Styela clava: one gene and its partner. The protein of the gene in region 2 interacts with the protein of the main gene of each other region in a pairwise test. Links are inferred from orthologs where the notes say so. Each region holds a gene or a part of one and is shown on either strand. Other genes may lie near its edges.

Region 1 (16,746 bases), on a different chromosome or scaffold from region 2:
CACGGATATTAGCACTCATGAACATTCGTACCGATGGACATTTACACCCACTCATTGTACCCCTGAACATATATCGCCACGTACAATTGCATCCACGCCACGGCCATTCGTACCATGTGACCACAAGATAGTGCTTTCTTGTAGCCATTTTGATGATTGTTTTCGTGATATGTTTTAAAAATCTTGCAGGCCTGCGAAAATACGAAGAAGCATTGAAAACTATTCGAGAAGTGACGTTCTCTGAATTTGTGGGCGGTGCAATTAAGTCATGAGCGACGAAAAGTGTAAAGACCTAATTCAACACAAGCAGTACAGGATGAGTCAAAGACGATAACAAGTTTTGCAAATTTAATTCTGCTACGAATCGAACACAAGTTGGTCTACAGACTCAGAAAACTCACTATATAGTCTTAACAAACGTACATCGTTAAAAATTTTATGCCTACCTTTAACCTATCTTGGATAATCTGATTTAGTTTTTATCGTAAAATACCATTTTATATATATCAATGAGACTATTTGGGTACACGTTTAATGCGCGTAGGATACCAGTAGTGGCGTACCAAGAATTTCTGAAGGGAGAGGGGCATTTATAATTGAAAAATGTGTGACGATATAATATTCTGTATTGTACATATTGCAAAAATTCATTACGACGTCATATTGTTGTTTTAGAAATGCATTATGACGTTTAAGGAACGTTTAACTTTTCACGAAATTTATTATGACATCATAATTGGATTTCTACATTTTTGTTCATTATACAGAATTGCAGTTATCAGGAACATTGCTTTCTACGCAAGTCGATTTGGAAATTGAAAACAAGTAAGGAGTTTAAAGCTGTATTAAGTCGTCATGTAACCAAAAACATGACGGCATAATACACAATTTTGGAAATAGAGTTTAGCTGTGACTCGTACGAGCTTGAACAAGCGACGATCACGTGGGTTTATATGATCACGTGATATGAGGCGTTTTACAAGATCACAGAGCATCGCGTGATATTTATCAATTTAAACATACACTGACTTGATTTCAGCCATGTGTGGCTGTTGAAAACGATATTCCTGTCTGATCAAACATGATGTCGTTCAAATGAATTATTAATATTTTACTTGGTGCCCACTCCGGTAATAATAATCTTCTCCTCGCCCAAACACTATAACAGACATTAGTTCTCGGGAAAATGGATCAAACGAGTTTATAAATGTGAAAATTAGAGTCATGCCCAACACATTTTTTGAATTTATTCCTCCTATAAATATTCGATATTTGTCGTTATGCAATATTTTCGTTGTGTTTCCGAGACCGACAATATTCGACAGACCAAGTAAATGAACATAAACTTCAGGCATCAGATAAAGATATTTGATAAATCTTTTTTCCAATCTTTGTCAGAAATAGTAAAAAAGTCAGATTTTAGAGTTATTTCGGATGTATACCTAAATATGTGACATCATAGCATCTCAGTCTTTAGGATTTTTTCACATCTTTGAGAAAAAACTATCAACATCTCTCCGAAGCACAAATGTGTGTAGTGCTAGTTATTGAATTTTTTAATCTCTAAATAGGTGTTTTCTAATTTAAAAGCAAAAGACCCGTCGCCCGCGACTAGGAAAGTGTATTATGACGTCATGTTTTAGGTTACAGGACGACTTAATGCTGCTTTGGTCTACTTCATTGTTTTCAATTTCCAAATAGACTTGCGTAGTGAGCAATGTTCCTTATTGTTACATCGAGAATCGCATTCACTTGATTTTTTGTATTGACTTAAACATTGCGTCCGTTTAACTTGTGTACTAATTACTTATCGATCTTAAGATCGGTAAGTATATTGATAGGTATTTGTATGTATGTCTGTGTGTGTGTGTGTCTGTTAGATGAACGCGATATCTCACGAACGCGTAATTGAATCTGCTCCAAATTTTGCATGTGCATGCACCTTACCTCGGACCAGACGCCTATCAATTAATGGGTATAATAATAATGGGTTAATTATGTCGTATAATTAGCGAGTTATTAACTATTTACCGATCTAAGATCGATAAGTCTTCGGTCTCCGACCGATATTCTCGTTTATTTGTTATTGTTGACGCCGTAATTTCTCATGATTGACAGTGTCCTTCCACACACTTTGTTACGAAACAATTGAGAGGGTCTTCGTGGCAATTGCTTGCCCAGACATGTCTCGCTTAGACAGGGATAGTTTCGGTAATTTGTTTTAGATAGCGCTTTATTTTTGCAGAGAATGGCGCTCGTTTCGTTGTAGTTTGTAAATAAGTTAAAATTGTTCAGCAACCTTGGCTTACTGGTTTGACTGTAGGACGATCAAATAATGTAGATTATGGCTGCCCCACATAGGCCTAGTTTAAGGATATTTTATGAGCATTAGATTGCCTTTGTGCTTGTTTTTACAGTCGTTCATTCAAACAGAAAATTTGCAACCAACAACCAGAAAATGCATAAATACAAAACTCCAAGAGCTGATATTCTATATTAGAAATTCATCACAAGCAGTTTTTGATTTTCTCCATCCAAGACTTTCCTAACAATTGATCAGTCAATATTTTGTAAATTGTACAACCACAAGTCACCATAAGAAAATAACAAAATCGATTGAAAATGGACTATGTGACAACACACATTGTAAATGACAAATATGATTGCAAATAAGTTGATTATCGTTACAATTGTCGTCTGTACAGAAATTCTCCTATTTATTCCATACAACAGCTTTTTACAGCTGAAACTGTTTTTTTAGCTATAGGTGGGATGATTTGTACACGCTTCTTCACCTCAGTCGCAACGTTTTTTCAATCGTCATACTTCACTAGTTATTATTGAACAAATTTATTCGCTAGGTTACAGCATATCACTTCTTCGCAATTGTTATCATTTGTTCCTATTTTTCATCTGTTGTCTTTTACCTTTACCAGGTCGTTTGTTGTTAAAATTCTTTTTACCCTATAAAATAAACATTGTTAGGTAGCTGAATTTTGGTATTGTTCTATTGTTCTAATTAACACTACTAATAATAAAAAAAAAACTTAAAAAAATAAATCTAATCTATAAACTTTTTTCATTTATCCACTTCATACTCGTTATTCTATCATCACACAAAATATAATTAAGGGATGCCAATGTCCCTATAGTTCGCTGTTACAGAAGTATACTTTAAAATTAATTGCATAGCATAATGATTTCACACTGAAAATAGCAAATTTTACATAAAAAATAGCCAATTTCACATCCTACTGGACGGAATTTTTTTTAATTTCAAACTGAAATCAGTGATAATACGTAGCCTTCTACAAATGAAAAAAAGCAGAATAAAAGCAAAAAAAGAACTCACTCTGGGTTGTTTGAACCCTGAAACATCATTCACACTTTTCACAGTATTTGATTTCATTCCTTTCTTCTTACCACCAAAACCAAATTTTTTATTACGAAAGGTTCTGCTTTTCTTTCTGCAATGAAACAACATTATCTTTAAATTTTATAAGCAAAATTCAACAAACCCTGTATTTTGAACATCAAGCACCGCAATTTCATTTATACCAAAGCCTGGAGGAATTCACACAGGAAAATGACAATTGGACTTAGCATCCAGGTAACAAAGATTACCGTGAAAACAATCATGAATGAAAATCATGGCCTCCTAAACAGCCTGTGAAATAAAACTGAATTTTGTGAAAAAAATAGGATTCATATTTATAAAAATACTTATACTTCTTCTTTATCATGTCATATAGATATTAGATACCTTACCTTTGTTGTTCGACTTTTTGTAGTTGAGATTTCTTGCCAGGTTTTACTTCCCTCTCATCATCCAGAAAATCCATGCTGTCTGTTTTCCCTGAAAATAGTTTAATATAGCTAAGCATTGGGTGATGGCCACAAGTATTTCTCAAAAAAGCTCAAGTGACAATATGTTATTAGTGCGTCATGTCATAACATGGGCCTTACAATATAATATAGTCCACTTTAAGGCTACTCAACTGGCAGACCGCAGTCCGAACCTTTCGAGTATTTGATTCAAGCCGCACCTAATTCTTTATTTTGCATCATTAGCCCCACTTTTGAAGTTCCCTTTTATGAAATGACTTTTATAGTTTTGAATATATATGTAAAGAACTATAACACCATAATAAACAATCTTGATTAGCTAATAATCATTAGTGTGCGAATAAGGATGCCGAATATAATTTCTGGAAAGACCAGACCCAAATGATTTTGAAGTTTTGTATGCGGATCTTCGATGAAAATAGTTGAGTAGTCCTGATCTACTTAACGGGAATGGAATGAACCAGACTACAATTATATGCTTGTGATTCCAAGTTTTCAATGATAACAAAATTAAGAATAATGCCTAGAAGTCAGTTTTTTCATTAAAATTTGTTGCAATGCAACAAAATAATCCATGCCATTGAATATTAAAAAAGCAACATGGAAATTTGTGAGCAAATACTGAAAGAGAACTCTGGCTGGAATTAGGTTATTCATATGCACATATTCCTTTTTATAACATTGTTTATTTCAAACCTTTTCGAAATTTTTTCACACTGTCTAAAATTTCCCTTTTCTTTTTCTTTCGCTCTAGTTCAACAGCTTGCTGCACTTTCTTTCCATATTTCTTTAACTTCAGTTGATTTCTATATTTTTCTGCAGATTCTTTACGTCGTTGTAAACTCAGAAGTTTTTGACGAACCTGGATGTAAAAAATATCACTACATGACAAATGGTAACATTATTAACAGGCCATCAATCACAATTTAATTTGACAGTCAAGTAGTCTAAATATGTCAAAAAGCTGAAAAGATACGATTATCTTGTAAGTGTGCTAATATTTTTGGGATGAAAATTTCTTTTTAAAAAGTATTTTTCCCATGTGTCAAATGCACAAAAGCAAAAAGTACATATCACAATGCTGTACCTTTTTCATGTGATCATCTTTTTTAGCCATCTCAGCAAAATAATCCTCTGGTCTTACAGTGGAAATATTAGCAATTTTCAGTAGAGGAATTGCCTTTAATACAGCATCTTTTGCTTGTGTTAGAAACATGAGTTCCCGTTTAAAGTCATTGTGAACAGTAAATAGTCTGCTTTGTGCCTGTGCCTGAGCTTCAGCAGCACTTAATCCCTCTTCAAACATTTCATCAGTTTCTGTAATAAATGCAGGATTTACATATTTATCTTGGATTTCTGGGGATGAGAGATGGTGATAAGACGGCGTAATCATATGGCATACCACGGCCGTGTCCTGTATGAGATCAGTTATTCGTTCAGATGCATCGACTTGATGGCAGAGGAAGCCATAACCAACCAAGCAGTTACGCTAACCCCCTATGGCGGTGAGGAGTCCAGCAATTCTTTTGCACATAATTAATCCTCACAGAATTAAAAAATGAAAACCCACGTAGGGTAATCAGAGGTGCAGGGGTCAACGATGCACCACACCACTGAGCAACAAGGAATGAATATTGGCAATACATAACTAGAAAGTTTAACAAGCTGTTGTTATATTGTTGATCTTGGTACAAATAAATATACCATATTTTGACTTCACCAATATTGCTTAACACTGTTAATGAGTACAATAATAAATGAGTGGAGGTGCAGCAAAGCAATGAAGAGTATAGGAAATTTCATCTGTATTGGGACTATCTTTTGCCATTTTGGTAGTAATATTTCAAATTATCATTATCAATAGATCTGTAGTTCTTAAAGCAAGAGCCAAAACATTTTAATTAATACTTTTTAGCAGTGACGAATTGGGTATTCCTAGAATCCCAGTTTCGAAAAAGTTTGTAGGATACAATAGTTTAGCGCTAAGCACATACTTGATCTTCTTTCTACTGTTATATCAAGCCTCTCTAACCAATCCATATCTTTCTGTTCAATTTCTTCTAATTTCTCCAGAATCCCATCCTAGAATAAAAGTAATAACTCCAGAATTATTGGAAAATTTAGTCATTTCAATCAAATGAAAACATTGCTGATGTCAAAATTTAATACTGAATTCGTTAACTTACCACATTATTGACAGCTGGCCGCTCAGGTTTCGCTTCTGAATATAAGCCTGGTTTAAGCAAACCACTTTTGTAGGCAACTTGTAACTAGAAATGTAAATATAAAATGGATTTGATTGTTATAATATAAGTCCAACAGATTTCGACATCACAATGGCATATTATTTGTCATAATACAATCGTAATTAATAATATGATCGTAATTATCGAATTATAAATTTCAGTCTTTTGCGACATATTTTAATTAAAAAACTTATTAGATATATTCACCTCTCTGTCTGAATCATCAGAATCATCTTCTGCCAATCTTGGATGATGCAATTCATCTTCTTCACTTTCTTCCTCACTTGATGGATAATTTTCCTCTTCTGACATCTTATTTCAGTATTTATATGAATTTGAAGAGATGAAAAGTAATCACACGATTTATTTTAAACAACCTGATAATAAACGGAACGTATAATAAGTTGTGATAAGATGGCTTAATCATATGGTGAACCACGGCCTCTCGTCAGGTTCAGGTCGTGTAAGGAATTAGTTAGCCAATAATTTGTTCCAAATGCATGAACTTGATTCTCTCACACATAGTTATTTCCACAGGACTCAAACTCGCAAACCCATGCAGAGTAATCAGAGATGCGTTGGTGAGTGTATTCCAAGCGCTCAGAACATTGGTTCCTAAAGACGAAGTGAGGTCTGCAAAGCAACTTTGACTGTGACACAGAATTATAGATCTTTAGTAAAAAGCACTCATCAAAAAAACCATCCCCCACCACGTTTTAAAAAAAAATTAGTAATTATCCAGTTAGGGTTAGGAATACAGATTGCGCTGGGAACCGTACGGCACACTATACAGATCGAGCAACATTGTGTCGTTTCGGGATACCCATTTTACAGATGATTAGACGACCCTCCTTCGGGGAACGTCTGAACATGGTTGTCCCTCAATATCGGTAAAACTACAGTAAATTGAAGTTGCGCAAAAAAGTGCAATCTAAAATCGTCATCATTGAATTCCTCGGGAAAAATAATGCGATTTACCAAAGGAAAATTTTTTCTATAGTGGCATTTGAGAGTTATGAACAAAAAACTGCAATTTTGGTCACGTGACGGCTGCGATTCATTTAGATTATTATCAAGACAAGCATGGTGCAATATGACGTATCTGCCGTTGTGCCAGACGACCCTCGTTTGTGAGACACCTGGAGTGTTTGTTTTATTGAACCAAATGACTGGACATTCTTGGAATTTGGATAGTGTGCCGTACGCGGAAATTCAAATTTGCAAATCATTCCTTACTCGAACCCTAACTGGATAATTGATAATTTTTTTACTTAAAGCATGGCGTTTTTTTCTCAAATCTCACATTTTTTGCATTAGTGAAGGGGGCTTTCTACAAAAGATCAAGAAGCACAACTGGGAATGTATCAAGTACAGGCTACGAAGCTCACATTCGTAAATATATATATATGTGTTACAGTCATGTATAAAGGTTTAAATGTTTGAAAATACGCATTCAAAACATCCAATATCAATAAAATTCAAAAATTTACACGCACACAGTCCTATAACGTCAGCAGTCTTCGCTAGTGTTACAACAGACAGCCCCAGTTTCGTCTGTAGACTGTATTTATACAACATGCTGACATGAGCAAAAGTTAACACTGAGCCAAATCCCTTCTAGAGAATATTAATGTGTTTTTCTCGACGTTGGAGCCTTGAAAAGATCGAAATTACACTCCTATCTGCCTATACCGGTAGTCTTTAAACTGTAAAACTTCGCCGTAGAAAATGCGAAAATACGGACAATTCTGCAATTCACCAGACCTCTCTTGTAGTCGAGTTGTCCGTGTACAGTAACTAACAGTTGTTCGCCTCCCGACTTGTAGTACAGTACAGCAGTACCGGTAGTCGGCTGGAAACCTAAGCCTGGATCTCATTTGCATTACGCTCTGCCACATCCCTGCATTACTCCCATAAAATTGACATTATACAGCTATATGACTACAGTTATACAGTTATATGATAACCAAATACCGCATCCATCAAGTTTAGCCACTTCTGCTACGGTTGTTTCTTGCAGAAGCACGAAAGGGATATGGGCGCCGCCATTTTGTAATCATGCACGCCATCTCGCGGAGATCTGTAAATAATGGTGCAGCAACTACCGATGGACAACGATCGGGATAATAACTACCGGTACGCGAAAGTAAATGGCACATAACTAAAGTTCTTGCAAACAAGGCTAGGCCTCACAGCCAACTGAGTAGCCTACGACAACTCAAAAATTTTCCTCGAGAGACATATTCAAAAGTCAAAGAAGAGTACATTATATAAAAATAATATCAGCAGTGATTTATACTACTGAAGTATACACTCAATAAACAAATGGACAAGCTCGGTAAGAAGGTTTAACTTTCAATCACAAAATTCCAAGCTACATACATTATTTATTCATCCATGAGACAACATTAGTTTATTTAGAGAAAGTATTTATCTCGGCATTGGGACTGTATCAATATCAATTGATCTACAAGACTTGGTATAATTTTTTAGAGTTTAAAAAGTATTGATTAGAAACACAAAGCAAGTCCGCTATCAACTAATAGCGAGAAGAGGCCGTTTATCTTTCAGTTTCGCAGCGCACATAAGGGAACTACCTGAAACTGATTTTAGGAAGTTCCCTAGAAAGTTAGTAACAAATAATGACTTGTTTCCATTTCCGAAAGTTGCACGTTTTACGGAAAAGGCGCTGTTTCTGTAATGCGCGTTTGTGTGAAGGACGGGAAAATAATCAATTTTACTGATGTCAGTTTGTCTAAATTCATTCGAGTCGACAAGAACCTGGGAAGCAATGATAAGTTATGCCGGAGTTGAACGAAAAGTAGCATTAGAAGCGATTGAGAGGTGTGAAATCAAGTTGTAGACAGACAGTAGATGTTTTAAAATATAGTCTATTAGGCATTTCAGACTGTGATATATCGAGATTCAGTGTAGATGTAGTCTAGTATGCAAACACTGCAGGACTGTAGTGCATCAGATAAAATGCATTATGTATGAAAAGTATCAGTCAGTATTTAGCGGTATTTTTACATGCTGTTCCAAATATGATTTTCTTCCTCATTTTAGATACTGTACAACAAACGAAAACGGCAATGTTCCACCAATCCAACCTAACGCAGGCTCTAATCCGGGCTGCTATCAGCGCTATACCTGTAAGAATAAAATGAACCGAACAAGAAGTCTTGAAGAAAAGCGTAAAGGTATATGAGAAGATGACAGTTGCAAACAGCTTAGATGGGCTATTCATATTGAAAACTTTGGCACATTTCTGCAATTGAAACTGCCCATCAAACTGATGTTGGAGAACTTCATTGAGTTTTTCAATTCATGTTTTCCTCAACTATGAAGATCCTATGAGATAGACGAGTCATTAATACATAAAGATGAGTAATTTGTTTGTTCACTGTAAGAAGAGAATATGAAAAATGTAAATGATACCAAGTCTTTTGAAAATTGGCAAAAATATGGATTATACTTTTCCTCCCAACAATGATTCACTGAAGAAGCATGTCCTGAGGGCAAAGTACCAGGCAGGACTTCATCATTGTTGCCTAGAATTGATGGATCTACTTCCAGCCCCCAAATCGATTCTTGAGATGGCAAATTGCAAGGGTAAGAAAAATTGATGTCAAAATAATTTATTCATGTGTGCCAAAAACAACCTAAATTGCACAGATTTTTGCATTGACTGCAAAAACCACAGTACATTTATAGAGGAAAGTCGATTTTCGAGAATGAGGATTTCGGAAGCAATTCAGAGGAAAGTGAATTAGATATTGAAGTTAATAAATATTTTTCATTATTTTTTTTCTTCAGATATCTGTTAGTGTCGTAGGTCCTGTTTCTATAAATAATATCGCCTTTGTTTCAAATGCACAACCACCAAACTGAAAAAAAAAACTAATTGTAATATTGATGTTCACTATGTTATGTACATACTGTATTCATTTGATTTTCTTGACTTTTCCGGTAGATTTCTCTGAGTAATAACCGATTTATTTGTGTTTTTGTGCTCACGATGTTAATTTGTGACTTTATTGCTTAAAAATGAATACGTTTGATAGCTTAACTATAAAATAAATGCAACTTCTTATGCTGTTCTTTGTTGTAAACTGCTGTCTGAGGAAGTCTGATTTTGTTAGACAAAACGTTACAGAAATACATTTGTGTTAGTGTGCAGCAGGGTTCTTGAATTGCATAGCTCCTATGCTGTGTTGCTGTAAACCTATGGTCATTGATTATCTGGGAATCCCCTTATGTTCAATTTTGCATCAGGATTGTGGAGCAAGCTGGAATGCGTTCAGTATGTTCATTTTCATACAAAACTTTATTTATTTAATTACCAGGTGTGCGCTACAAAACTAATTTTCTGGTCGTTTTCAAGGCCTCTTCTCATGTCCTATATTCATGGTATGGATATACAAGTGTTTAATAACTTACTTATACTTTTTAACACCGGCTTAGTATAACTTAACTAATACAGAAGATCAATGCTCAAATATATGGACACGCAAAACAATTACCCAAAAATCCTATGCGGTGACTTAACAGTACCTGTATCGGGATACCGTGACGGTACAGGAACAGTCATAGTTTTTTTTCGGTCCTGTGACAATGATCCAATCTTCTTGATTATATTGAAACAATAATTAAAATATCTCGTGATATGAGTTAATTATGTATTACCGGATAGGTACCGAACCACAGTCAAACATTTCACATAAAAAACGTTACAAAATAATATGCGTCAATTTAACAACACCTGAATCGGAGTACAAATTTTGGTACAGTGACTGTCATAGCCTTTTAGGGCTGACGGACAGCTTACTTACATAAGTATGCTTACCAGTATACTTGTCATGTCAGTCGCTTCTCCTTTGCGAGACAGATAGACCAGACCGAAATTTGCAGATCCTGTGGCGATTTCGTTTCAACATGAATTGAAAAAACCCACTTATTCGATTTATCATGGTATTATAACAGCAGATACCACAGTGTACAAATATATTGACACCAAGCGAAGCAGTACGGTACGGTTCACCGTACCTTTAGTATCACCGGTAACCTCATAAAACTTCCGAGTTTTGAGTAGCAAGAATTTTCAGAATGCGCCGTCACGCTCGGCAGGTTAAAAACAGTGTTCCCATAATATATTATACACTTAAATTTTGTATGAAATAACAGATTTTATAGAATTCATACAAAATTTAGAGATAAATAAAAGTAATAGCCTTCTGGAGAAAAATTCCATCCTCAACCACTGAAAATTTCAAAGAAATTGGTCCGGTAATGAAAGAGAAAAGCGACTTTTTCATAACGTGTCAAAAAACAAGAATAAGAACAACAAGAGAGCTATGCTCAAATATATGGACACGTAGAGTCACATAATTTTGATGACGTCATAGCGAAAAAAGAAGTAATAGCCTTCTGGAGAAAATTTTTATCTTTAACCACTAAAAATTTCAAAGCAATTGGTCCAGTATTCGAAGAGAAAAGCGACTTTTTAAAAACGTGTCAAGCGGTACTGAGTTAGCAGTCAGGCAGCATCTTACCTGTACACTGTAGGCCATATACGGTAATTGATCACAGAACAGTTGTTCCCTTGCAAATTTTATGTTGTTTACACTTTAGGACAGATAATTGATCACAGAACAATTCTTCCCTTTCAAATTTTATGTTGTTTCCAGTAGACTCTCATCAAAATAAACAAATATAGTAGGCTACAAGTGCTACAACGCTTGCATTACTGCACTGGTAGGACCGTGAAAGAATAAGTTACGGTAATTTCATTGTGGTAAGACACCGGTACCGGCACCAGTACCAGTATCGTACTTACGTACTGAGCTACCAGTACCGGTTAGCAGTCAGCCAGCATCTTACCTGTACACTGTAGGCCATATACGGTAATTGATCACAGAACAGTTGTTCCCTTGCAAATTTTATGTTATTTACACTTTAGGACAGATAATTGATCACAGAACAATTCTTCCCTTTCAAATTTTATGTTGTTTCCAGTAGACTCTCATCAAAATAAACAAATATAGTAGCCTAGGCTACAAGTGCTACAACGCTTGCATTACTGCACTGGTAGGACAGTGAAAGAATAAGTTACGGTAATTTCATTGTGGTAAGACACCGGTACCGGCACCAGTACCAGTATCGTACTTACGTACTGAGCTACCAGTACCGGTACCGAACCTGTAGGTCTGATATTCCGTTCCGCATACGATAGGCTATAAAACTTGCATTGCAGCATTAGTAATACCGCGGAAGGAATAAGTCAATTTCACTGCGTTACGGCACCGGTATGGCAACTTACCAGTACCGACCTACAGTAGCTGTAGTACTGAGCAAGACAATCGATCGCGAAACCGCTTGAAATAAGTGTAAAACAGTGTTCCCATGAGTAAAAATAAATACCGCGAAATTTTGTATGAAATATCATATCTCATAGGATTCATATAAAATTTAAGAATAAACAAAAGTAATAGCCTTCTAGCGAAAAAATTAATCTTCAACCACTGAAAATTTCAAAGCAATTGGTCCAGTATTCGAAGAGAAAAGCGACTTTTTAGAAACGTGTCAAAGAACAAGAACAACAACAAGAACAAGAACAACAACAACATAATATTGAAACGATCGTTATGTCCACTACGTGTCCAACAACAACCTAATATTGAAACGATCGTTATGTGCACTAACGTGTCCAAAAACTAAAAATGACGATGGAAGGGCTACAAACTGAGATTCATTCGCATGCGGACAGCTGATCAAATTTTAATTGTTACGTCATACAGAAGTCTGCGTTCATTGGCCAATGTTGCCGGAAAAGTAGAGAATATAGGGTAGATCGTAGCGCATATTTCTTGTAGTAAAAGCGTCTTTTTCGTAAAACGTGCAACTTTTGGGAATACGAACAAGGTATTAGTTGTTACTAAATTTCTAAGGAACATTTTATATTTATTTCCAAGTAGTTAGTTTCCCGTATGTGCGCTACAAAACTCATTTTCTTGGCGTTTTTCAGAGCCTCGTCTCACAGCCGATAACTTTTGGACGGTTTTGGTTACTAGACTTTACAACAGGATAAGAAGAAAGACCTGTGTCGTCATTATAAATATGTGTAAATTGTATACAGGATTATTTAAAGGTCATTTATGAATATCATAAGGAGCAATTTAGATCCAAGAAATGAGTCATTAGGAACTCCAGAATACATTGCGTGTGCCCGATGACGCTTACCATCAAGAATGACGTTGATTTTGAAATCAGAGCCATACAATTCAAGGATGACGTCAATTTGATAAGATATGCAATATAATCGAGTTTTCTGTTATGCGAGTCCGAGATTTCCAATGAATATGAAAGGTTTGAAGTGAAAGAGCCTTTTATGATTATTTGTGATTCGGTGTTACTTCTATATTACGGAAAATGTAGAATGCATCAAGAATCACTCATTCATGAAATAGAATTGATGATATTTCATGAAATGTTAGTGGAGAATAAAGAATGCATCAACAATCACTCATTCATGAAAAAGAATTGATGATCTTTCATGAAATGTTAGTGGAGAACGTAGAATGCATCAAGAATCACTCATTCATTAAATAGAAATGTTGAATTGATGATCATTCATGAAATGTTAGTGATTGTATTGAGAATACTATTGATCCAATTTCGTTAAAAATCGTTAATGGAGAATATATATATGTGTATATATACCTAAAAACCAACACAAAAACTCGTTTGTAACTGATTTGTAGGTTGTTCAACTTGATAAATAATGTTGGAGCTTAGCCATCCTCGAATTTCCATACAAGAGTAGACTTCACATTCATGTGGAACAATGCACTAAAATGTGAAATTACGTCCCCTCGCCTATTACTTTTTCTATTATTATATTGATTAGATAGATGCTTTGATGCAACAGTAATTAGTACGTACAGAAGTACGTTTAGGCATTCAATGTTCTTTATATGAGTGATATCTTTTGTTCTTGTCTTATAAATACTGTACTCACATAATTACTTCAGCTATATTATTGCTAGGGCTGGGCATTTTCGAATACCAGATCATTTCAGAATCGAATCGAATAATTTTTTCGAATCGAATCTCGAATACTGTAATAAAATTGTATATATATAACTTTCTTATTGAATAAGTCCCCCAGACACATAAATTACCGAAAACATAGAATACATTACTCAGGCAGATTGCTGAGCGTTCACACACAATAAAAAACGCGTTTTCATCAATACCTCAATACAGAAAAGAGTCATATGTCTGAATTGCGTTGAAAAAGTGTGGCTTCAATAAAAAAAATTTGAGAAATTCACCTCGACCAATGGCGGAAAAAAAAAACAAGATGGCGGACATTCGAAATTTCGCTCTGAACCGATTCCGATAATTTCATATTCGATTCGAAATGCCCAGTCCTAATTATTGTTTCGGAATTTTTAAATAAAAGTCAAGTTTGGATAGTCAACCACCCAAAGAATTTGGACGTACATTTTCATGATGACTTCGCTTTTTAAATATACAAAGTATACAAAGAAGCGGTGGCATTTGATTCAATCTGAAATGATTGCTTCACGTGGGTTTGATGCGACTCACACTTGGCCTGCACTGAAGCGACATAAATATTTCTCGCATAAATCACGAATGATCGTACGAGCATCGATAAGAAGTGCTGACTCATACCTAGCGCACAATTTGTTTGTATTATAATACGCTCAGTCATAGCTAGACGAAAATAATCTTGCGCAAGTGTTAATACCAAAATGAAAGCTTTTGCCTAAAAAGCTTCTCTGAATTGGCACTTAGATTGAAGTTCAGTATTATTGCCAACTATGCGTGACTTAGTGTGATTGGAACTGCGTATCATACAATGATATCGACGCTAGCTAAATAACCAGGTGGGACGGAAACTGGGTGTTTGAGTCACAGGAAAAACAACTTTCAGTAGGAAGCCGCCTTATTTATGAAGCTAAAGTGTTTGAATGTAGAGAATGTAAATCTACGTTGAGAATAGATAGGATTTGCAAGGACCTGAAGCCGACCACGAACAAATTGATTAACATTCAAAAATTTCAGCGTTTGTGTTTCTTGCGTGTGGCCAGTCTACTTACCCGACTAATCCCGTGCGCTGAATGTTCACGTATGCCAGACAGGCTTAGGAAATCATTCATGCCGACAGGACAGGACTCGATTAGGTGACAATACTCGTGTAATGTGCAAATACAAGAGCTCAATTCGTCGAAACGAGTTTAGTGAATCAGGATATAGTCTAACGTTTCGACGGTATTTTGTCCTACATCGTAACGCGATAATGATTAAGGCACACCATATCACAAATTGACTTCTCAAAATGACCTTTGTCGGGCCAAATATCACTCACGATTTACAGTATGAAAATTTAATATATCATCTTGGTCGTTTACAAATAAAAATGTCCCTAAGTTTATTAAAGATATCTTTATGATGTTTGCACATTTGTTGAGTGTGTCCCTACACTCAACAAATATGCAAACATCATAATAATATCCGAAGTCAATGTACGGAATATCGCAGACTAAAGCCATCCAATACATAAGTGGCCGGTGTGAATGCTCTTGATCGTTTCATTTGCTGCGGAACCGCATTGAATTTAAGCATTAAGCAATTAAACGGTCAAATTTCTGGTCTAATTAATAATCTTTGAAGTCTTTCATTAAGAGCAATGACTGGGCTCCGAGGCTGTTAGATTTAAAATTTTGAAAGCATTTTACGACTGGATCAATTGCAATTAAAATATTTATTGAATTCTTCCCCTGGGCATAATTGGATATGCACGTAATATGATTTTTTTGACGGGATCTCTAATTGCCACGATATAGTATTGCGTATATATAAAGCTCATGAGGTAACAGTTTTAGTAATTCGATTCGCCTTAAATATAAATGTTGACCGTCCACGTTAGACACGATTCTAAAATTTAGACGACAGGCCTTCAGACGATTTTAGAATTGATTTATGCATTATACTATTCTGGTACATCTGATTTTTCGTAGGGCAAGAATGAAATTAGTTTATTATTAGAATATAATTTATATGCGATAAAATTGAAGCGACAGAATTGCAAACCATATAATATTATGGTAAATCATAAATAGATTTTGGGCGTTTTCAACATTTTGACTCTGGATCGGAATTGACAAATTAAACTCGTGACTGATGCCGGAGGGAAAAGCAAAATGGCCACACTTCATCGCGCATTCAAAAGTTATCCCATAGTAATGGGATAAATTCTCCTAGCGACGTCAGAATTTCAGTTATAATTTTATCGTTGCATTCTTTTCATAAATAGAACCTATTTATTGCCACAACTTCATAAATGTAACTCAAAAGTTTTCGTGTGTGGACTAAGATAGTAGGTGTCACGAAAGTTATTAAAATGAATAGCTATCTATTTTTTTCACACCGGTCAGATATTGATCGTAGTATATATATAGTCGCAATAAATTAAAAATTTCATGATTTTGTAACATCAGGCGTTGTTCAGTAAGCAACTGTGTGAGAATTTGTGTGCCAAGGCCACCTAGAACAATGAATTCTGTAAGACTTTCAGTATAATATGAGTTCTCGTATAAGGGTAATTTTCCATGCTCGTTTTAGGAAA
Region 2 (16,641 bases):
TAAGTTTTATGCAATATATATTTTTGGATTATAGTTATCAAGTCTGTATTTATTCATAGAAAAAAGTACCAAAAACTGTTTTACTGCGTATATTTCTTAACCCTTTTTTTCCGCTGTATACAATCGACTTTATGTACCATTTTATAATATGTAATGACCAGTTAACCAAACGTACAAGGAACACCCCCAATATCTCTTTAAAAAGCTTATTTTCGCGTCTTCCTACTAAAACGCGCCCAAGTGACGTAGGCGAAACCGTTCGACCCTACGCGTGTAAGAAGAGAGAAATTTCAAAAATTTTTGAGAGAACGTTTCACACTCTTATCGCTTCGATGAACACGTGTTACAAAGAAACGAAATTCCAAGCGCTCTTCTGAAAGAGAGTTACGTCACCTTTGAAGAAAAACCGGACTCAGCTTCGCAAGCGAAGCGAAACGCGAAATAATCAATGATATGTGAGAGCATGTCCACAATAGTTGTCTGGAATCTTTGTTTGTTTATTATGTGCGCGAAATTGTTTCCCGCTCGTTCAAATGACTTATTTTTGAAGTAATGACAAATACTTTCGTGTATCTCTAAGCTTTGAAATACCTACACAAATAAAATTCACTTAGTAGTAAAATAAAAAATTTACAAAAAAACAAAATGTTGACAGATCAAGCACGGATCATAGTTGGATGCTCAAAATGATTTAGTTAGTGCGGAATACTTCACAAAACATGAACATAAACGTAAAATAGTCCGAAAATAACTATTATGACCAAGGATGGTAGTACGAATATATATGTTATACGGAACAAAAGAGTTAAGAAAAATAAAGTACATAAAATATTTTGAATTGCAATTTATCTATATCATATATAATGTATATATATGGCCTCTGCAGGTACATTGAATGAAGTGGAAAAACTTGAATAAACACTGATTGAAAATAAAACTCATTAACATACTTTATAACCAATCTGTATATTAATATGTGATAGTTTGTTCCCGTTTGATTGACACCATTTTGATTGATCAAACAGTCGAAAATTATGGAAATCTGGTATTTTTATCATTTATTTTACTAGGTTGAAGTTGATGATACACTAAAGACTCAAATGAGTTCATTTCTTCTGTCATCTTCGAGTCAACAAGAAATAGCAGAATTAGAAAGAAAGATTACTGATACTGTTAGCAGCGTACAACAACATAGAATACAAAGAGAATTCTACATGGGATTTTCTGACAATCCACAGGTATGATGACATATCTGTTTAACATTTCACAATGAAAATATATAGCAATCTTGAATATAGCAACGTGAGAGAGTGATTTTCTTCATTCGAACCGCTTTCTAAATCCTATTTGCTGCATGTTTTGCATTGAGTGCATATGATTACATATACGAGCAAAGAGTATTTACTCACTTTTCTCCAGTTTGTCTAATCATAACCAATTATTTTGTGAATCTAAGAATGTCAAAAACACCAAAATTTTGATCTTTATTTAGCCAACAATTTCAGAACCTTGTTTCACAATATCAATTATCCTAATATCACAGGAATTCATTGGCGATTGGCTTGAATCTCAGTGCAGAGACTTGAAGACAATGACTGATGTTATGGGCAGTAAAGAAGAAGAAAGACATGCTGATCATTATTTTGCACATTGGTCACAAGAAGCTGTTACACGATACTTTTACACGAAGGTGCAACAACGTCGACTGGAATTAGAGCAAGTGTTGAAAAGTGCGAACGTTTGAAACTATCAATCATAGGTTTGGGATGCCTACTCTAACGATTACATCAGGAGACTTGAATCTAAATACCTAGTTATGGTTTTGTCTCAAAGATCGATTTGTTAAACCAAGGGGTTAAATTACAGTGTCACACTTTTTTCAGTCTGTTATGTTTATATGATATGAATACATCAGAAGACTGATACTTAAGTTGTGGTCATTAGACCCAATGCTGCCTTCTGTTATGTTGAACTGGGGATTTAAATGCAATGTCACACTTTTTGTCAGTCTGTTTTGTAATAAAGGATTTTCTTATTAAAGCCTCTTGCAGTAAAAAGATGTTTATCATAGACAGAATGAGTCTAGTAGAGTTGTTCATTAACAGCTAGGTCTTGTTACAATCGTCAACTAAAGAGTCTATTTGTAGCTGTATTGTAAGAGTTTGTCTTACTGTTCCAAGGTATTTAAATAAAGAGCTTGGGTACAGACTACATTTTACAAGAATGAGATCTTTGTTTACATCGCTTACCGACATTTTATAAAAAGATACCAGAACAGTTTGGGCTAACTTGCTGTATGACTGGAACAGTTTCTGTTTGCTGTAAAAGGAGTGAGTGTCTGACATTCGGTACTGAAATTTCAGTTGAACAGCTATGTGGTTTAAATGCATGTCATCCAAGATATGAGTTACATTTGTTTCTCACTGGAAACGATTGTGCTTGTTTTAAAGAGATTGGGTGGTAACTGTGATCAGAGGCAAGGTTTTAAGGTTCGGCTTTTGAAACGAAAAAAAAAAAGAATTTTTCTCTATCATACATAGCAATTTTTCATGCCTTAAATTCCCTGAAAATCCACATTTTTGGTAATTAGAAATTCCAGAAACCCTCCAAAAATCCTTGTGGTTCATGAACGTTGACACATGAAATTACATCGCTATGAAGTCTTCAAACAGCTATTGAATCAATGTTTTAAGCTCCCAAGTCTAGCCTATCAATCTAGAAGTTAAAATTGTTCCAGTAGAATTAGACCTTTGCATCAGAATCGCTAATCGTTACAGAAATCCCCACCATTATTTATCAAAAACAAAACTCTCAAATTGCCTGTACATTTTATATTGTAGAACGGCGTGATGCCATACTCAATAATATGTCACTATCATCAAAATACCATGCAGAGAGAGGCAGCAATTTTGCACACGATTCTGTGGGACCAACTAAATGCGCTGGTAGACAAACAGTGCATCCGCAAGCATACTTTCAACATAACAAAAAATATTGCCATCAGCCAGTTCCATGAGTATCAAATACCGTGTCTGTATCATCAGTAGGAAAAGTTTTCTCATATTTTGAGCGAGTCTCTTTCCGGGCTTGGACAGTCAATTGTTTACCAGTGTACCTTGCCTGGGACTTCTTTTTCAGCATTCTCCGCATCTGAAATGCAGAGAGACTTGTTTAATCCATTCTAATTTTTACAATGACAGAAACCATAATTCACACCAACTTACAACATTAGGAGATGTATAGTCCGGGTTTATATACAAGACTGGTCCTCCAAAGCTTCCACTCAGAATTTTTGCAAGAATCATTGTGAACCTTGGCCCTGTAAAAATTGATATATTATATTTGAATAAAGATTGAAGTCAGAAAATCGATATTTTGTCCTGTATAAGAACAACTTTCCAATAGGGATTAGACCTTGGGGTCTTGACATAAACATGTAAACTGCATGCAGTGTCACAGAGTGGCTCAGGGCACACTTTCACTGGAATAAGAGTCATATTTTTGACTCTGCGAAGTCATTGAGTCAGAATTACAGACTTTTTCAATGGGATGAAACACAAAATTTCAGACAAAAAATCATAAATTCGCTGAGCATTTCCATTGGTTTTTCAAAGAAGGTATACATGTGCCAAAATTCATTTAAATTCGACTCTCTTGGTAGTTCGGAAAGGTGTTAAAATTGTTTACAACCCTAAAAGAAAATTTTCCAGTCAAAATTATTTCAGATGTAAATTTTTGCCTTCAAAGCCCAGTTTCAGGCATCACCCACCTTAACTAAGTAACATAACCTTCACTGTTGTACGAACATCACAGTTCACAAGCTATAATACAGTTTTACCTCTGATCAATTTTATTTACTGCACGGCACTTAAGTCATACAAGTTTCTTACCAATTTCAACCAGGTCACCATTCTCTCCAACAATTTGGTAATTGCGAAACCAGATACGACCATCTAGCAAACTTAAAGAAATAACATGATCAACAAATGGCTGGCTTTTCGGATGATATCTTGGTGTTCCGAATATTTGCGTAAACAGTTCTTTCAATAAACGATTGTGTGGTTCATCATCAAATGTCTGAAAGAGCAGAAAAACAAATGAACAAAAAGACATTGATAACTCATAAGATTTGAATTAGAAGGACTTATACTAGGACTAAAAGTACTTGTACAAATGCAATACTTTAAAATGACTACTATTTTGTTTATATGATGTTTATTCACGACTTTGGTTCTGAACTGAAAGGCTCTCTACATGAAGATACTGATATGTAATGTGCCACTTTATTTTGGGAAGATCGGATTCTTTACGGTTCGCATTTGCCCACCCAATTTGAGGTATAGGGGATGGGATTTAAACTAGAGATTTCAACCTCCGATTCCATCATAGTTAAGTCTAATACTTGATCTGCTAGGCCACCGCTATTCAGTTAGATCGCATTATGTCTATATGGAAGTGCTATTGTAGATGAAGCAAAGTAAGGGAAATACGATACCTTATCAAAACACAAAACTGGTCTTGAACCTTTCAAACAATTTCCTGTAAATTTCAATTCTTTCATCATATTTACTGTAAAAATAAAATGATGAAATTACACAATGCTCTTTCTCTTTTCTTTTCTTTTTCCACAAAGATAAAAAAAAACTTACAATATTCAACATGAAAAAGTGCTGATGGCCCGTGTGGAACATTTGACATCCACATATAAAGATCTTTCTTCTTTTTACCAACTAAAAATATACATTTGTTGCAGTTTTTCATTTCACATATTTCATTGACAAGCTGAAGCTGTCCTTTTCTGTCCATTTTAACATCTGAAAGAAATTTATAATTTATATCCATAATAACGAGAGAGGTGGGATGAACTCAATTGCATGTTGCTAACTTCTTTCCGCATAATCAGTTAACGGGACAGCTGGTTACTATAGAAAGTATGGCGATGGTTGGTTCTACTGAAAACTGGGCAGGACTTCATAAATAAAGAACAAAGAAAAAATACGCCGAGCTGGGCTGAATAAGGTCATATAAACATGGGAAAAGAGAACAGAACAAAGTTAGTATTCGATCCTATTCATTGTTGTATGGTGCCAGTTCTTATATTTGTGGTCCTATTTTTGAAATTTGTTACAACGTTAAAAAAAAGATGATTCTTATTTTACAAATGGTCAATGTAGCGAGACACAGGAAAGTACCGTACCGTAAAAGCGCCTAACTTCGGACAGTTCCTAACTTCGGACAAAATTTTTGAACGGCCATATCTTGGCTAAAACGCGCCGTATATTGCTAATTTTAATTATTATAGGTTGCGCTGTTATATCTACATCTATTCTCATCTTTTTTAATGTTGCATAATTATTTTTTTGGTAAAAAAACGGAAATTTTGCCGAAAATTGACTGCCCGCCATTCAACGGCGCAGAGCGTCGCTCCTACTGAAGCTATCATCGTCGAAATACCATCATTCGGTAGAGGGCGACAACAATGTATATAATTTATTTGAGTGATCGCAAGATGTCGTACGAGATTTAAATAAAACCTAAAATTCTGAATTATAAATTCCGTAAGAATATTAAGATTTCACGCAGCGTCAAAAATTACGTCAACCTCACGTAGATTATTTTTCGCTCACTTCCGACACGACGTCACACTGCGTCGCGGAAATGAATTTTGACGCCAGACACAACGGAGCCAATATGACAATTTCCGTTAAGATAAAGACGGCGTTCCAATGTAATATTTTTGTATTTTGTTCGGCCATGTATGAATATATGCCAAAATTACATTAATGAAAATACATGTCACACTTAATCGATGACGTTAAAAATCGAATATATAAAACTATGGAAATTCCAACGTCCATATGGCACAGTCTCAACCATTATTTTATGATTAGTAGTCGAAATGACAGTTATTGAATACGGCCTGGGTGAATTTTATTCACTCGAAATTAAAAATAAATTTAATCTCCAACAAATAAACGGAACCTACATGTTTACAAGATTAAGTTGAATTTTAAATTAAACTTCACAATCGGATTTTCCGTGTGTTTGATATAAATTATCATTTATAAAGATAACCGCGCAGAATAAAAAAAAGCTGTCTGTCGAGAATATTAATACTTCAAAGACTTCGATAGAAGCCCGTTAAAATACTTCATTGTGGATTGAAACGGTTTGCATCAGATATATTTACGTATGCATTTCCTGATTAAAATAACTAACGTGTTATTATACTCATCTGAAGTATCGAAAATAACGAACGAAAGATGTAAACATAGGACGACGGAAGTTTCAAATAATGCATTTTCGTCGTGACGTCAATGTTACGTTACGACGACGATCGAGCGTCTTATCTTCACGCAACGACGTGATTACGTCATCCGCATCGGAAGCCTCTTTCTCTCTGTGCGTCGCGGTTGCGCAGTGAAGAAAATGACTGTCCGAAGTTAGGGCAGTGAAGGATAACGGTCAGATGGCAAGAAATATCGATTATTTCAATAGTAAAAGTAGTCCAATTGAACCGAAATTTGCAGGGAATGTAAATTACCGCACGAATGTTTTACCGAGCAATTTTGGCACCGTTTGGACAATAAATGGCCGAGTTATTGACGAAAATATAGTAATTTTGTCCGAAATTAGGCGCTTTTACGGTATATAAACTAATAAAACTGTTTGATAAGCAATTTGTAATCTTGTTTACCTGTTTTGGAGTGAGGCATTAAATTCTGTAAATCTTTAATAAAATATCGAGCTTTATAGCTTGTTCCTCTTGATGTGAATACCAAAACCCTTTGTTTGTTTCTCCATTTCCCCTGAAATAAATAAAACCAGCGATATAGAAAATTTGATTAAGCATTTTAAGCAACAATACACGATTCTTAATTTTAAAACTTTTACACAACTAACTGACCAGGACAATTTAAAATTAATAGGTTCATATTTATCGAAGTACATACCTTTTCAACTAAAGGCTTCATCTCGTTAAGTTCATTTGGTACTTCTTCTTTATCATTTTCTGTTTCTTCTGCAAGTTTTGCAATTTTTTGTTTCCGAATTTTCGCTGAAGCTGATGAATGTTTTCGTTTATGTCCCTTTTTCATTTTGTATAAATTATGTATTGCAGTACTGTACTGGACTATAATACCAAAATATGAATAGAACACAAATATATAACCTACATGCAATCTTCAACTGATTTTCACATGTAAGTGACCTACCAACAGACTCAGAATTTAGACTTGAATTTACTTTATTACAAGTAGCCTACTGATAGTATCAGTGATACACTGAAGTTTATTTCGACTTCATAATTATCATAAAAGAGTAAGACGATAACATAATTGATAAAAACAAAATAAATAAAACTGCACAATAAATCAGGAGAGCACACAAAACCTCAAGAAAAGTTTAAAACGTAGTACCGGTTCTGATATTATATTGAAAGGCGTTTTCAAAAGAACTCTAATACCGTACCAGAATACAGTACGGTACCGGTAATATTTATCTGTATATCCCATCCCCAAAAAACAGTACACAACACATGTGCTTTGAACTTTAACCTCATCTGTACGACCTTTAACCCTAATAAAACGTATGTTTTCGCGAACATCACCTCTGTTTGTTTTTTTTCTTGGAACGATTAAATCCTGAGAATCGTTATGCTATTTTTTGTTACTGAGAAAAAATAAGTTTACTCTTTAAATAGTGGACAGATTGATTTTTCAGTATCGAATTATTGAAGAAATCACTCGAGGGCTATTACTTTGCGTCTTTTGACCACAATATGCGGAAACTATTTTCCCTATTCTTATACTCAATTTTATTCTAATTCTGAATAATTCAAATTATTCGGTATAGTAAGTACTGTTCGCGTTCGACCTTTTGTGTTTGTGCAACTCGATTATTTTATTGGTAGGTGGCGCGTACTACCGACGCGTTTCCCGAAAATAAGACTGGGTCTTATTTCAATTTTCTTCTCTCGAAAAATAACACTAGGTTTTTTTTTCATGGGGTGTCTTATATTTTCATTTATCGAAAACTAGATTACAAGGTAGGGAGTTACAAGATTGTCAAATATACAAAATATGAAAACCGATATCCATTCACTTATAAAAAACACGTTTTTATTCAAAATAACTGCAAAACATAGATTATCAATCATTTAAAACAGGGGTTCTCAACCTGGAGTTCGCAAACCCCCAGGGGTTCACGAGAAGATTTCCAGGGGTACTTGAATGGCAGCTTTCATGTGTTGCTATTTTTTATGTCCTTTACTATCAGAGGAAAATGCGTGCCGATTGGAACTCGCGTGGATTTTTCCTGATCTTGCGTTGTTTTTACTCAACAATATGAAATCCACAGCTTTGCAGCAAAACTGTGAAATCTCAAAGTGCAATATTTGCAATAAACAGGGACATCCTTCACACCAATGTTCTGTATAAATGAAATGAATAATTTTGTTTAATATCATTTAAAACAGTGGTTTCGTTTCTGACGGACCGGTAAAATTAAACAAAATTTACTTGCGGATCGGCAAAAAAATTGAAATGAATTGAATAGAAAAAATAATAACATATATTTGCAAAATGTAATGCAATGTCGGGCACTCACTATGCTTCTAGGTAACAAAAGACACACTTGAAAACATTTCGCATGAATAAAAACAAATAATGCGCTGGCCAAAAATTGAAATGATTGGATCAAACTTTGTCCAAAAGAAGACCCATTGTCATCCTTCTTGTTACAAAATATCAAAATGCTTTGTCGGTCAACTGATCTCATATTGAGCCCTCTGCAGTTATTCAACGCCTCAAACAAAATTTACATTAAGATGACAACGTCGTCGGTAACTTGGCACCAGGTTCCCTGCCCTGCTGTGCATCACCTAGAAAAGATCTCAACGGCCCATGCTTTTGTTGCACGTCTTGTGACCAGCTCATATTTTACTGGATGTCAAGACGAAGCCCTGGAATATTATATTGCCCTGTTTCCTGGTTTGAACAAAGTATTCATAACCTTTTAATTGGATGTTCATATTAAGCAGAAAAAGAATGTAGAACAAAAAAACACTTGTGCCGATCTTTGGGTTTTTGAATCTTGCGAGATTTGACGGACGCTTTCGCGATGAATCGGAACCGAAAAAGCAAAAAGTATGATTACTCGGCGCCATGACGTCGTCGGGCCATTAATACCGCAAACATCAATATGTCGGCGGAAGAGAAATTGTTTGTAATAAACAAACGCAACGTCGTTATTTCGGGTTCGGTAAAGCGATTGAGATGGCAGAAAAACAACAAGATTTCTCGCAGACCGAAAAAAAGCGTCCGGTGCCGGCCCGCGGACCAGCGGTTGGTAACCACTGCTTTAAAACACAATTTAAAAATTGTTAGTCAATATATTACAACTTTGTTTAGTGTCTGATTATACTGGGGGTTTGTGTTGAATATTTCATGACTCGGGGGTAGTTAACAGGAAAAAAGTTGAGAACCACTGATTTAAAACGTGTAGGAGAGATTTCTTGTTATCGACTGGGTCAAAATACTATTTCGCGTTATTGACTAGGTCTTATTTTCGGGGAAACACGGTAGCACGTTTTAAGTTATGCCGAAATGGAAGACATTGTCATTCGACGAGGCACGACGAATTTAGATATCTGAATCAGAATCACATCCTTTTTTATTGAATGCGGCCTATTTACTTATTTTTCCATTTTCCACAGGATGCACAAAATGTCAAGTACAAATAAGAAGTTGTACATGGTAACTATGAGTTACGTGGACCACGTAAATGTTTCATTGAGTAAATCTGGCATTAAATCATTTTGAAAAATTTTCTAGCATATTATTAAACAAGAGTACAATGATCAAATATATGAACACAAAGCTTCGATAGCAAGAAATCTTTCCTACTCGTATTAAAGGAATAATATTCTATGTTTAGCAGTTATTTTAAATGAAGTCGTTTTATTTATAAGTAAATGGATATCGGTTTTCATATTTTGTATGTTTGAAAATCTCGTAATTTGCTACATTGTAATTTTGTTTTTGATAAATGAAAATAAAAGACATCGGCCCAAAATAAGCTCTAGTGTTATTTTTCGGAAGATAATTGAATTAAGACCCAGTCTTTTTTTCGGGAAACGCGATAACACCATTTAGGCTTTCAACTTATTCAGGTTATCTTGGAGATGATTCGAGCTTGCTTGTATTATACATTCACTTGTTTAGTAGTTTACGGTTTTAATGAAGATGATGAGGTTTTAGTTATGTTTCTTTATTTATTTTGTTATCAATGGTCTACATGCGAAAAAGGGATATAAAAAATTTAAATCCGGATATCTCAAGTTGCATCATTGTCATTTAACAATAGAAATACCTAATCAATATTCAAGAGCGCAATGCTAAAACATATGGACACGAAAACCAAAATGAAGTATTACGAGTATGAAATGTTTTACTACAGCACCCGACTTCGATTGACCCCCAGATCGCAACGATCGCGAACCAAAAACTTCCACGAGGGGCGCGTTTTTCAACTTTGTGACTTCATCACATAAAACAAACGAATCCCATAGAGTCCATAGAAATTTTTGAAATAAATAAAACTAATACCAATACCGTTACTTTAGTTATATTTACGTGGTATTTTAAAAATCGACATACGTGTCGAGTTGCGCCCCTTCGTCTCGTATTTTTTTATCGTGACGGGCTTCGATTTTTTAACATAAGATGCAAGAGAATTCGTTTGTTATTTTCAAGCATACCGAGATAGTGCTATCAAGCATTTTATCAATAACTTGACGCCAACAAGCATATAAACAGTATACGTAGGTTCAAAACAGAATGCCGTTAAAAACAGTAGTTATCCACCTAGTATCTGCGGTAATAAAAATAACCATGATTAGCAAACAACACAATAATTATGGCGATATCAAATCTAGGTGTGGGAATCAGTAAAAAGTGCAATTTAGTAAAATTTAAATTACGTTCCAGTTTAGGAATGGTAAACGAGAATATATAATTGGTATAGATTTGGCGACAAACGATAAGAAATTCCTGGTCAAATATGAAATTTATAAATCTCTTTCGAAGTTTTTGGGATATTTATTTCAAGCTAGAAAAACGCGATACTAAAAAATATTTCTCGAAATTTACCCGATCAATAACGGAAGAAAATAAATTTATGACAAAAAAATAAGATTGTTGAGTTGGAATAGAAGTCAAAAGTTAGCGTGTCTGGTAATAACAATGAACAAGCTATATTTTTGTCCAAATATTTTGGCGGTAAAATGTGTGATCGATAATATTTTCGTTAAACACTTTTGCCAAATTAATACGCATGTAAAAAAAATTGATGTATCGTTTTTCGTGCCTGGTCATGCTTTGACGCATTCAAGTTCTTGTTTACACAGAAAAGTAATTAATCGACTCCGGTCTTTGATTGTAAATTGCATGGAATACGCATATTTATTTAGTTGGGCGTATAAAAGTACCGAAAGTGAGGACAGGCTATTAGATATTAGAATACTTCTCCGCGCGTGCGATAATATCTGGAAGCATTTTTAGACCACAAATATGGCTGTCTTATTCTGTAACATTACTGTGACAAAGCACAGTTGCCGAAAGCGCGCGTGTTAACGGTGCCCTGAAAAGGTGGGTTTTAAGCAACATGTAATTACGGTTTAGTCGACAAATAGAATAATGATGACATAGTTTATTAAAATCACTTTTACCAATATAAAAATTATTACAAAGTGATTAAGGAATGTGTCTCAGACGTATTTGTAACCGGCAGTCGGGATGAAACCCTGTCAGAAAGTCATGTTTTGCTGATTGCAACTACGATAAGCTTTCCACGAGTTTTCTCTCTAGCCTGTGACGTAAAACTTATTATCACCACAATGCGGTTGTCCAAACATAAAAATATATTTCATAAATTTAAAAATTTGTTTTCAATTAGCCCAAGCTAGATCAATTTTGGGTAGATGATATAAATATATTTGAAAAATTAGTAATGATGAACGTTTTGTAATCTGACGTTTATACATACAAAATTAGCCTTGGGCAAGGTGGCTTTCATCTCGCCTTTTCACCTTCCCGTACGTTATTATGCAGTTTAGAAAATTTCCCCAGCGCATCCAATGTGGTGAGCTGTTTCTCCCTATAACTTAATATCAATTACGAAGAAAAATTGGGTACTGAAAGGTTGATTGTAAATAGCTGCTAGATATAATAATCTAAAAATTGTATATATTGAAATATATATTAGCAGTATGGTAAAACTAAAAATATAAGATATATATACTTGGTAAATGTGTCAGGTATATAATGCTTCACTCACTTTTGTTCGGCATAATATTGCAGGGAATGGAAAAAGCACGCTTTGTTATTAGATCGTTAATAAGTAATAATATGGCAGCTATTTATTTCACGGCCAAACTTCTGATGTCGAAATTTTGCTCCTTTGCTGTTCCGTTTATAAGTTAATGCAAAAGTTAGTCAATCTAACGCCTAGACAGTGTGGAGCGATATGAGTCCATAAATCCTAACTGCAAACAAAAAATATTAGTAAAATCATTTTTGGCGAAATATTCTTAAAATTGAAAAAATTGTGTCAAGCGCCGTCATATGTATTACCAGTCAAGTACGTAATCGAGGCGTCACATTTGTGCCTAATAATTGCAAGAAATTTTAGAAAAGGCAATTCGGAGATAAAAATCATAATTTGCTGTTGTGAGGCTTCGATAACTTACACGTGATTTGAATAACGTGAATATATGCTTAAATAGACGTTTGGTGGAAATTATCAACGATGTAAGAATTCTTATACGAGATGGTCGCATGCTGTAATGCTTATATATCAAATATCTGATACAGCAGGCTACAACCACCGGAATGCAACCTGAAAGTGAGATTAAACACATAATTAATATTGAAATGAATAGAACATGCACAAACTAGCTGCAGGCGCATGAAGTTATGCACATTTCCTACGTAATCAGTTGTAGCTTACAACATGTGTCTTTTTTTAAATTAAAACATGGCAAAGGTAAGCGATCAACATTTTAGAAAAACAAAACGAATCGTAGGTTTTACTCGGATTTGAGAACTAGTGACTTCGAATAAATTCTATTCATTTGAAATCAAGTACTGTCACGTGACTTCATAATTCGATGGTCATTGACGCCTCATTATACGTAAAATTGCGTACTCGCGTTATAAAAGTACAAGCGAAATTTTGTGTATCCTTATTTATAGCTAATATTTCGTGAGGGCAGATAGTTTCATGTCTCTGAGCAGTTAGATACTATAGTTCTGAGCAGTTCTACTCAGTTTCAGGATTTGACCTTAAACGTTTACCTCTGAGCGGAATATTAGGTCATATATATAATGCAAGGAATTTAATCAATATAATAATATTTTATTTTATGTAACGCATCAAATGTTACAATGTCATTGCACCAATGTATGTCAATATATATATCTTTTTTCGTTTATTTAAACCTTGCCCATTCGGATAGGAAATATGAAGGTTTAAAATCCTTTGCTTTTTAACGTTTCGCTTTCTGCTTTACAGATAACTATTTAAAGCATTACTCATCTAACTCATGTACAATAAATATAATAAATAATGTTAAAACGACATATGATCAAAATCATATCAATTCTGTATGTGGTGATTCCTTATTGCATAGGTAAGTGAAGTTTTTTTTTTCTACTAATTGTTTATAGAAAAATAGTCATTATGTTGAATGCGTTATTTACCAGAAGGTCTCGAATATTAAAATGAAAATCCAGTCAAAAAACATGTATATATTTGCTTGAATGTAAAAACTTGATGATTCTCATGATTTGATACAAGTGGAACCAGAATGAAATATATATATGACTGCAAAGCATACACTTCTTATAGTATGTTTTACATAATTTGCTAGAATATTAAATACAGTTTTAAATTTTATAGTTTTTACTGCAGTTATTACGTATGTAAATGCAAGACTTACATTGAATATTAAACACGGTGGTGAAATAAATGCTTGAACAATTCTATAAATTAAATAAATATCAATTAACCTGAATATGTTAATGGAATTATTACGTCAATAATTTGACCCTTATCACGTGACCTTCGACTTCATTTCCCGTTTCTTATACGCGATCTCTTTATATTCAAAATGACATTTAAGTAAGGTGACAGTTTGAGTGTTTATAATGGCCGTCACATTGTACTAATTATATGTTGTTAGTGTTGTAAAAACAAATAGTAGAAATGGATCATTTTTTAAGATGACAATGTGCCTGTTTAGAGTTACGTGGTATTAAAGGTATTTGCCTCCATAACATTACTAAAGTACAACTGTATGTGGCGGGCAAAACTGTTTTACAATAACAAACCTTTTGCCACAGATAGGAATCTGTACTTCCTCCGGATAGTTTAGCGTGGTTTTGGTTTTAAATTCCTTGTGGTTATGCATATTTTAAATTCTAGAATTACCATACTAGAATACCACTTTGAGGGAGGATTTGCCATTTTTATCAAATGTAGAATATTGGTAAATACACAAAAGCAATCTCGGAAAAAATAAACAAAGAAAACAATCGAACCGGAAAAATTTGGGATAAAACTGCTGGAACATAATTGTTGAAACTTTCTGCTAGAGACATTTATGGTCGTGGGCTGTATCCAAAATATTCCAGATTAGTACTGAAGGTTAAATAATTGAGTTTTGACTATAACTTCTAGAAAGGTTTCAAACATATGCAAATCCTAATGAACGATTTATGCAACTTTTCATTTGCTGCAGCTACTACTTGTTTAATATGTTCGTCGTCAATATCAAATGAAGATTGTAACGCGAAAGGAGTTGTTCGGCGATGTAGACCTTATGAAGTAAGTTTTTATATCCGTCAGAGTAACAAAAAAATATTTCTGGCAAGGGTTGTTGCAAAGTGAAACTGTTAGCAAGCTTGCACGCTTCTATGTGTTTATATATACTCATCGCCCATGGCAAAATATAACATGAAAGAGTTCTTGAAAAGCGCATTGGCCTTTGAAGAAGGTCACATATTTGAAAGCAATTAATAAAACCAAATTTTTTAGTAAGAATCCCATAATATACTATCATTGGCTAAGACCGTTTATGGATGCGTTCAATTTCTGTTTTTTTTTTAATGAAACCAAAGCAATCATAAATTAGGAATCATTATTTTGGTAGATCAATTTCAATTATCTGTGGAGCAGATTTATGGTGGATAACAAAACGATTGATTACAAAATGTATTAAACGTATTATATATATCAGTGTTTCAAATTTAATTCTTTTCGGTGGTAAATAACTGAGAATTTAACACAGAATTTCGATACCAAAGCAATCATAAATTAGGAATCATTATTTTGGTAGATCAATTTCAATTATCTGTGGAGCAGATTTATGGTGGATAACGAAACGATTGATTACAAAATGTATTAAACGTATTATATATATCAGTGTTTCAAATTTAATTCTTTTCGGTGGTAAATAACTGAGAATTTAACACAGAATTTTGATAAAATTTGATATTACAATTTACGTTCATCTGATAAGCAATACTTAGACAAAAAGTCGTTACTGTCAAATTGAAAAAATCTTTCATGATGAATTAAATAAAACTTCACAATACGAAGATCGATATATACCTAAAAATAGTGGTACAAGGTGAATGTGCCTGGATGTAGTTTACAGTATTGAGAATGAATATGTCAATGCCCAAATTTATGATACGAATAAAATTATTGTTTTGACGACCGATTTATGACCATTGTAAACTTGCTTATCGTTTCTTGAATGCGAATAGGTTTAATTCCTGAGCAAATTAGCGACATATCTTGGGAAATCAGCTACAGAACTCATTTAGGGAGAAAACAAATCTGATAAAATAGAAGAGGGGACAAATTGAGACAATGTAGTTTATTCACATGTAATTTAAAACGTTCAAATACGTAATTGATAGCATAATACGCATTTGCATGATAATGTTATTTTTCAAATAACTGGCATTTCAAGAAATGACAAAAAGTCGGGCGTTATAAGTGTATTTTGCTTTGTTATCGACACAAATACGACTTACATAAGTGGGTAATTGGTATTTGTCGTGACGCATTTGTAGACATAATACATGTAGTGTTTTAGATAGATAACCAACAAATCAAAAAAATATATTGATGCTACAGAATTTGTAGCATCATAAATTTGTACTCATATTGATATCGTCAAATAATTAAATTAACAGTAAGTGATCTTTGCATTAATTCTAGTTGCGATGGAACAAGATTTAATTAATAATGCCGTAAATGAGTTATTGTGAGGCCAGTGTTTTTATAAAGGCCGATTTACACATTTCGGCACAAACAAGGCCATGTTCAAGCTTCCACTGATACCTAACAATACAAAAATGCTACTAAAGTTGAAATTATTCAATTTAAGAGAGGTGGTGGGCATGGGATTTGAACCTGAGATGTGTAACCTGCGACGTCAACGATGTTAAATCTAACGCTTTATCCGTAAATGTTCTGTTATTGTTTTGGATTTCGATAATCCCGAATGCAGATTCTTTTCAGGCATCAGATTGAGAATTCGAGTTCAGTATTTAAACGTTGAAAAATTCT

What was found.
Region 1: the proteins of ribosome biogenesis protein BRX1 homolog (region 2) and putative rRNA-processing protein EBP2 interact in binary tests that used the Drosophila melanogaster proteins (3 or more experiments, as listed by UniProt). The link is inferred for Styela clava from reciprocal best matches to the Drosophila melanogaster genes CG11583 and CG1542.

What each region holds. Positions count from the first base shown.
Region 1 is NC_135259.1:3,403,162-3,419,907, forward strand, and holds putative rRNA-processing protein EBP2, read right to left. Parts: upstream 6,494-16,746; 5' UTR 6,405-6,493; coding exon 6,300-6,404; intron 6,117-6,299; coding exon 6,033-6,116; intron 5,929-6,032; coding exon 5,841-5,928; intron 5,164-5,840; coding exon 4,934-5,163; intron 4,709-4,933; coding exon 4,543-4,708; intron 3,857-4,542; coding exon 3,769-3,856; intron 3,468-3,768; coding exon 3,353-3,467; intron 2,965-3,352; coding exon 2,893-2,964; 3' UTR 2,476-2,892; downstream 1-2,475. UniProt on the Drosophila melanogaster protein: Required for the processing of the 27S pre-rRNA.
Region 2 is NC_135250.1:7,875,426-7,892,066, forward strand, and holds ribosome biogenesis protein BRX1 homolog, read right to left. Parts: upstream 7,168-16,641; 5' UTR 7,098-7,167; coding exon 6,954-7,097; intron 6,810-6,953; coding exon 6,698-6,809; intron 4,815-6,697; coding exon 4,650-4,814; intron 4,570-4,649; coding exon 4,496-4,569; intron 4,078-4,495; coding exon 3,891-4,077; intron 3,320-3,890; coding exon 3,225-3,319; intron 3,151-3,224; coding exon 3,001-3,150; 3' UTR 2,817-3,000; downstream 1-2,816. Other genes in the region: SWI/SNF-related matrix-associated actin-dependent regulator of chromatin subfamily D member 1-like, read left to right, coding at 1,071-1,238, 1,544-1,744; complement receptor type 1-like, read left to right, coding at 13,627-13,690, 14,801-14,886. UniProt on the Drosophila melanogaster protein: Required for biogenesis of the 60S ribosomal subunit.